Kluyveromyces lactis: one gene and its partner. The protein of the gene in region 2 purifies or fractionates together with the protein of the main gene of each other region. This does not show direct contact. Links are inferred from orthologs where the notes say so. Each region holds a gene or a part of one and is shown on either strand. Other genes may lie near its edges.

Evidence for each region.
Region 1: the proteins of UTP22 (region 2) and UTP21 purify together in Saccharomyces cerevisiae (affinity purification with mass spectrometry; 5 studies listed by BioGRID). This does not show direct contact. The link is inferred for Kluyveromyces lactis from reciprocal best matches to the Saccharomyces cerevisiae genes UTP22 and UTP21.

Annotation. Positions count from the first base shown.
Region 1 is NC_006038.1:252,899-257,246, reverse strand, and holds the start of UTP21 (rRNA-processing protein UTP21), read right to left. Parts: upstream 2,801-4,348; coding exon 1-2,800. Other genes in the region: inositol polyphosphate kinase VIP1, read left to right, coding at 3,343-4,348. UniProt on the Saccharomyces cerevisiae protein: Involved in nucleolar processing of pre-18S ribosomal RNA and ribosome assembly.
Region 2 is NC_006040.1:1,246,719-1,250,828, reverse strand, and holds the start of UTP22 (rRNA-processing protein UTP22), read right to left. Parts: upstream 2,839-4,110; coding exon 1-2,838. Other genes in the region: KLLA0_D14762g (uncharacterized protein), read left to right, coding at 3,680-4,084. UniProt on the Saccharomyces cerevisiae protein: Involved in nucleolar processing of pre-18S ribosomal RNA and ribosome assembly.

The DNA.
Region 1 (4,348 bases), on a different chromosome or scaffold from region 2:
CGCTGCCGCAGAATTTTACCAATTCATCCAATGATTGGCCCTTGCGGTGATTGGTATCCCAATGTTGCAGAGCAGTCTTGATATTTTGATTTGTGTTATTAGAATGAATTACATCACCATGCACTCTGAATAAGATGGTAATATATGCCTCATATAACTCAAAGTTCTTGTTGGTAGCCAAACCTTGAGCCAAACTTTCAATGAACCGACATAGCTCATCAAATGGTTGAAAAGCTTTCAAAGAACGAATCTCCAAATCAATATTTGAGGGAGTCATCTGGACTAATTCGTCAAGGAATGCTGAATAATCGTTTTTCTGCGAACCTTCTCTAAGTAGCTTAGTGAAATCAGATTCGAACTGAGCACCAAGTTTTCCTGAAGGTTTGAATTTATTCAGTTCACTAGCAGCATTAGCTTTGGCAGCATTTCGCTCCTGTTGTAGTTTAGAGGAATCCAAACTCAAATTCTCAGCGCCTTCCCTGGCTGAAGCCTCATCGCCCACCTTATCTTTTGCAAGTTGTAAGAAGAATGGAGCCTGCTCTGGTTTAACTGGAGCCTCCTTTGGTTTCGAACGTTGTTTAATTATATCGAGATTGAGTAAGATATTCATCTTGTTCCTTGGTCCCAAAGAAAGAGTCAATAAATCTTTATCAATTTGCTCCATCGAGTCATATTTACCAAAGAGATCTTCGGAATCATCTTCCTCTGTATCAAAAGCCCCTTCCAAAAAGTTGGAACCACCATCTCCGGAAACGTTTGGAAGCATAACAGTGGCAAATTCTTCTTCGTCGATCTGTCTGGTTGATACTGAAATGAACTGAGCTCTATTAGCCCAGAGGGAAATACCATTACCAGATACACTAGTGGTAGCCAATAAGTCACCATTTGGTGAGAATTTAATGTTAGTGATGACATTTTCCACTTTCATACCGTCTATACATCCACCTGTTGGTAAATCCCAGGTTCTAATTGTGGAATCTAATGACGAAGAAACGATCCAACGTCCATCAGGTGAGAAGTCAAATGATGAAATTCTATTGGAATGCCCCCAGAGTTGACGGACCACTTTTTGAGTAACCGAATCTACGACAACAATGGAAAGGTCATCTAATGCTAATGCGAAGAGGTCAGATGATCGATGGTATACCATTGATGTTATAGGTGAATCCAACTTTAACTTTCCCAAAAAAGTGCTTTTGGAAAAGTCATAAAATCCGACAATACCATCTAACCCACATGACACCATCTTTCTGTTCATACCATCCATTGCAATACCAGTAACTGCCTTCTTATGTAAACGATAAACCTTTCTCTTCTGTCCACTTTGTAAGTTGTGAACACTAATACCACCGTTTGAAGAGCCAACTAAACCAAAGTTACCACATTGTGATATAGCTACGCTCTTCGCAAACCCCTCATCATTAGTTGGGATTGTCCACCTACCAACTCTTTTTGTTCTCGAGTTCCATGTTCTTGCAAACTTTTCCCCTTTATGAACCGTCAAGATGTTTTCCCATTGGCCTTGTCTGTTATTTTCGATGACTATTGATGTAATCTCAGGGAACTTCTCACCAATGGTGCTTCCACCAATCCTATTTCCATCTTTATTCTTATGCAGACGCTGCGATAATTCCTGCGATTGTGCATCTTTTCTTAAGGAAAACCCCCATAAAGATCTATCTTTTGAAGCAGAAAGAATGAAATGAGATTGATCGTCAGCAAATGCAATAGAGGATGGAGGTTGAGAGTGACCACCTCTTGACCTTAATAATCTGGCTGGTTGAATGACCACTTCAGAGTCACCTTGCGATAAGGATGGATCGAAAACAAACTCTTTTAACTGGTTGTCACCACCACAAGTGACAACGATCGGCTGACCGTTCAAGAATGATGCTCTTGCAACACCACCATTCACTTCCTTGTGAATGCCTTTTAACACTTGAACACGTGAGCGATGATCTAAGTCATAAAAGATCAAATCACCACTGGTTGATGCTACTGAGATATGAGAAGCACCATCCGTTCTGAAAGAGATTGAAGAAATTCTCGTCGGCGTTTTAATGGTTCTGATTTTCTTACCCTTACGCAAATTGAATAAAATAACTTCACCAGATGATGTACCAAAGGCAACGATGTCTAAAGCAGGTGCAGGTTCAGCAGTGGTGATCTCATCGGGGAACTCATCGGAAGTGTACAATTGTTTTCCGGTCCGAACGTTAAACAAGGTGAAATTAGACTTAGTCACAACGAGCAACTTGTTAACATATGTTGGTAAATGCACCAAATCAACAATATCACCACCTTGTAACTTACCAATGGTGAAATTGGTGTATAATTCAGTAGCGAATTTATCAGATGGGGAATTTTTCTTATAGATATAAACAACATTATTATCTGTAGAAGCAATCAAATATTCACCGAAAACGTTAATTTTGGTCACCACGGTATTTGGATCAGGTAATTCAATCAAATGTTCTAGCTTACCTCTCTTATAGATCCCAACTTTATTCTTAAAACTTGCATAAACGTAATGAAAATGCGCTGCCAAACAAGTAATGTCTCCCTCTGTCTCCTTATCTGAAACGAATAGCAGATGCAAATTATTGGCATCAAAGATCTGAAACGACTTACCAACAGAAGTCACAATGTAGAAGGTCGTACCTAGGGTACCAATCGCATAAGGAACTCCAGTAGATACATTACCTACAATTCTATACGGAGAAAATATTCTGGAAGCATGTTTCCTAACAGCGCCGGAAGAACCAACTCTTCGTTTCTTTAACGATCCATCCACTGTCATGATTGCTAATGCACTGTTCTGTGACTTTATGCAATCGCTTAATTAACTGAACAACAAGCGAATCCAGTAATTAGCTGCTGACGATAGGTATCTATCTCATCTCATCTCATCTCATCGCTTCTTTAAAACGTCGAGCTTCGAAATTTTCATCGCTGAAACAGAAAAAGAAATCAGAATATCACGTGACACATAAGGGGGATCAACCTGCAAATGTGATTCTTAGACTTGGATAGAGAAGATACTATGTAACTTCACCATTAGATGCCATTAGATAGTAACCATACCACAGTCTGAAATCTCACTAGCGAAACACATGGAGGTGTTGCTTAGATACTGGTCTTTACTTCAGAATTACTCACAGTTTTCTATCAAGTTTTCACTATTATCCTTCACATATAAATTTATATACAAAATTAAACACATGGGGAATAATCGTACCATGCATCCGCTTATAACAGAAATCGATTAATTGCAACGATCTACAAAATAATTTTAACTGAAGTTTCAGCATTGGTTATAATCAAATTGCAGAACTGCCAGTCATGTCTTCTCCAGGTTCAATTTCTGATGAGGGTCAAGAGGCAATCAACGGAAATACCATGCCTCCACTGTTTTTAGATTCGAATACGAAAAAGGCTATGGAATCGATCGCTCCTATCCTTGAAGGGTTCACGCCGAAGACCTCTTCTAGTGAGAATAAGTCGTTGAAGTTGCCACCTGCTGGTTTTACCTCTGATGATGATGATGAGACAAATAAGCTCGTCAGAACGCTTAGTATTTCTTCTACTGGTTCGACAGGTCGTCATATGACTCCCAGTGTCCTAGGCACCTCATTCGATAGCATGAATGGTAACAAGCTTCAAAGACTGAAAAGTAACCAAAGTGGATCAGCATCAGTTTCTGCTATTCTGGAAGGATCGCCTAGTCCATCTCCTATGCTGGAAGAACCTCATGCATTCCCCTTCATTCCGCAAGCATTAGTCTCTAATGAAGCTGTCACAACCAACACTGACGGATCAACAACTCCAAGTTCGACAAATTCTTCGAGGAAAGCTTCAACTTCCTCGTCCAAGCCTCAGCTACCAAAGATTGGTAAAATTGGTGTTTGTGCCATGGATGCGAAAGTGTTATCCAAGCCATGCAGACATATCTTAAACAGACTAATTGAACACGGTGAGTTTGAGACTATAATTTTTGGCGATAAAGTTATATTGGATGAAAGCATTGAAAACTGGCCTACTTGCGACTTTCTAATATCATTCTTTTCCAATGGGTTCCCTCTAGAAAAGGCTATCAAATATGTCAAGTTAAGAAAACCATATATCATTAATGATTTGATTATGCAAAAAGTATTGTGGGATAGAAGGTTGTGTCTCAGGTTGCTGGCGGCAAGCAACGTACCTACCCCTCCTAGATTGGAAATTACAAGAGATGGTGGTCCCAAAATTGATGATGAACTGAAATCTATGCTTGCCGAACGTGGAGTTATTGTTTCAACTGTTCAAGAACCCAACTGGAGAATGGTGGACGATGACACCTTGGAAGTTG
Region 2 (4,110 bases):
GTTTGCGAGGAATAATAAGATCTTCAAGAAACCATTTTCAACGGAACCTGGCATGGTGAATGGACGTGGCTCTACAAATGGCTTAATGGCAATAAGCTCAATCAATTCTTCTGACAAATGGCCATATAAGAGATGAGAATCTAGCCATTTCTTAAATAGTCTTACCACTGGAGAGTAGAATGGGTAACTATGGGAAATGTTTTCCAAAGTTCTAGTATGTCTAATAGCAGCTTGGTACTTGGCAGTAAATTTCAAGAATGTCTTTTCCAGCTCTGGTCTTAGTTCTTTTCTTGCGTTGTTAATTGCTCTCAAATACATAACTTCGTCTCTCTCAGTTAGAACTCTAAACTTGAAACCGTATCCTTCTGGAGTCAAAATGTTTAGAGTAACTATTTCCAAGTTGTATGGAATCGATTCATCACGTGTAAAGTAGCACTTGTACTCACTATGAGTCTGCGTGATGGATTCTTGAATCTTCAATAAAAATGCAGCTTTAGCCTTTTCCAACGAAGTAATTTCGTCAGGCCATTTTGTAGACGTTTCGAATTCGATAACAACGTCTTGTAAGAAATCAGGATTAGAATATGCGTATGGGACAGGCTGACATAATGATGTGTACCTGAATGCAGAACCAATAGGTAAAAGAGATTTAATTGATAATGGGAGTTTTAGCTCGAACATGATTTTATACAAATCGTCAAAGGACTTCTTCAAGTTATAGTAGCTTGATAGGTTTAGAACTGATGTCTTTGAAGATGCAGGTAGGTTCGGTAGTGGTAACAACTGTTGGAATTGGCTAGTGGAATTATTGATGAGTTTGCAGTCTTCAGTCAAATGTAGCCTTAGAACATAGGACAAAATCGAAGAAACAACACTTTCAATAGCAGAAGTTGACCAGACACAGCAGTTTGCAATGGAACCGTCCTTGAATCTACGAAGAGATGCTTTTTTACCCCAAAAAATCTTGAATTCATTAGCTTCATTAGTTAATTCTTCTGTGTTCTCTGGGCCCTTAGTCACAAGCTTCTCACATTCTGCAGGGTTGATCAACAGTTTAATTTGGATTGAAGTGAAATTTGGAACAGCAGCAACTTTTCTCTTTGTTACTGGGAAAGTAGATCTATTGTTAACTAGAGCCACTTCAAAAGCTTTGATTCTATCCTCAAGGGCAATCTTCACGATGTTCGATACTTTATTGCAGATGAAATTTTCGAATGATATAAAGCTAATCTTTTCAACGGGACCGAACTTGGACAGTAGTAAATTGATGGATGGGATATCTAAATCATAGTAAGCATCATATTTCACTGTCTTGATCTTGTTTAAGTTAGTTAAGAACATGTTTTCGAACTGATCTCTGACGACGTCATTCAACATCAATAAACTTTCTTGCGCGTAGATCTTTAGCATTTGATAGCTGTTAACAGACATTTTACTCAGTATGTTAACTTTGGTGGTTTTATCAAAGATTGTAGGTGTTTGGAAACCTTCTTCAACGTATTTTGAGGAAGTGACAGTTGCAGTAGTGCTATAGTCGGAATAGAATTGTAAGTACCCATCAGTACAAAGATCCATTGTGGCCAAATATTTGATTACACCTTTGAATAATTGGTAAGATGAGAACCCATGCAATAAAATTCTGTTACCATTCAACCCACCACCATTTAGTAGGGCTGCCATCAACGTGGCAAACTCGAAATTTCCAAAACCACCCAACGCATCTGAATGAGACATATTTGATGAGAAGCCTCTCTGAGATAACCATAGCTTCCCCAAAATACAAGCCTGTTTAAACTGTTCTGTTTGTTTCTTTGATTTGTGTAAGTACTTCAAATAGTGTTCGTGACAAGAAGATGATAATACCGAGAAATTGTAGAAAGGTGTCGGAGTTTCGTTATCCTGACCGACTCTGATACAGTTCTTATTGGGTAGCAACTTCTTTGATTCGAAGAAATTGTATGGGAACCCCACGATCAAGTTTATGCTGAATTTAGTCTTGTAGAAATTATAGTCCGATGAAGTTTTCTCCTTACAACTTATCTTTAATACCGTTTGTAAAGGATCGTTGTTAAAGTATGAATATTCCAAGTGTAAGAAATCCAGCTGGCTTCTTTTCAGGACGAGTGAGATATGATGAGTCAAATACGCGAGGTATACTGAACGCTTGTGGAAACATCTAAAATTCAAGAAATCTTTCTTTTCGAACAACTGCTCAGGCATAGTCAACAAAACGTCTACTGCGGAGCCCTGAGGTTGGTAGATGGCAGTCTTCAACCCGAATGATCCAATTAAACTCACGTCCGGCTTTAAATAATTGAATTTGTACTGTGTGTTCTTCGCTTGTGGTTTTGGATCCACAAACGGAACTGATACCACTTTCCCATGGAAATATTTCTCTACATCTTCTAAGCTTTGCGGAGTCCATTCCGGTACTTCCTGTATCATATCATATAGTTTATGCAAAAACTTCTCCACCCTTACGATGTGTGAGTCCTTCAACTTCACTTGTTCCAATAACTCATCGATTTGTAATTTGAAAATGTTCGATTTGAAGAGTTCAGCCGTTTCTCTCGCTATTTGTATATCCTGGGAGCTCAACTTTGGCTTCTTAGCCTTATGGTCATGTGTGTTTTCCTCTTCCTCGTCTTCTTCCCCGCTGGAAGAGGCAGTAGCCTCTTCCTCTCTTTCTTCTTCTTCTTCTCCAGAAGAAGAAGAACCAGTCTTGTCACTGTCATTTTCAGCCTGTGAGCCAGTAATAGCTTTTACAAGCGCCTTCTTGGTGAAACTACCATTCCTGGACTTCTCACCATCTGGTGCTACACGTTTCACAGAGGCCATAGTTCACTAAATATCCACTTAATTCACTAGTTCCTGACCGTTTGCGCCTCTGGATTGATTATAATACAGAATGATAGCCAGTGCCCGAGTCCTAGGGTTTCAATTTCCCCTAGCCAAAACAGAAGAGAATTACCCTTTTAATATCTAGCAAACTAATACGAGGGAAATCCAAACAAAATCACTGTGATAAACCTGCCTATGGGTACGTTCATTCTATGTAAATGCGAATTCTTTAAACCTTTAAAGCTCATCGCCTGGCAAATTTTTCCAAAATTCGATGTGAAGGATTTTGATGCGTCTGTCACTTTATACGACGTGTCCAATCTCAGTCTCTCTGAATAATCAGTTAGATAGTCAGATACATAGAGTCATACTGGACTAAAGCCAAGTCCAACTCAAGTGCTGGAACTGGTACTATCCCGATATGTAGTAATATAGGGAATACATGGTTTTAGACGTACCGTATTGCTAGTTTTAGTGCACAATGTTACTTTAAGAAAAAAAAAATAGATTCGAGGAAGGTCAGATTGGATATTGAAAAAGATGAATGCCACCTGCCAGAATTGAACTAGCGACCTTTGCATTACAAGTGCAACGCTCTACCACTAAGCTAAGGAGGCACGAAATCTATTACAAATTTTACAGATTTTTTAGATCATTCGGCGGGTTATCTGTTGAGACGGATTAGAAACAATAGACGGTCAAGTATCAACATGAAACATCATTAACCAATCTGAGTTATTATATAAAGAGGCCATAGATCTGGGGAAAGACCATCAACACAGTCATGACAGATCGCCAGGTGCATCAACACACTAGCTATATATAGCTAGTAAACACTATGGATTCATCTGATACCGAAGGTTTTGAATTAATTACACGTGACTGTGACTGCGACAACCAGGATCACCTACATGGCAGCGTCACTGAGTCTCCGCAAGGAAGTAATGATCCGACAAGAGGTATCTGTGAAGATATACAAAGACTCGATATCGTTAGTGATGGTAGTGCTCCTAAACAGAGTTTAAAAGAGGATAAAAATGTTAACCCATACTCAGACTTAGATCCCGAGAGAGAGATATTTGGAGGAAGTACTTACGAAGTGTTTGATAGGGAATACAGATATCGAAGCAGTCTGTTGTTTAGTTATTCCAAGAAGAATAACAACTCGTGTGACAGCGAATATAAAGCTTTGATGACTTTTCCAGGTTCCAAGACAAGACGTCTGTTCATCTACAACAAGTGAAGTCAAAGGACCAATTTAACAGATGG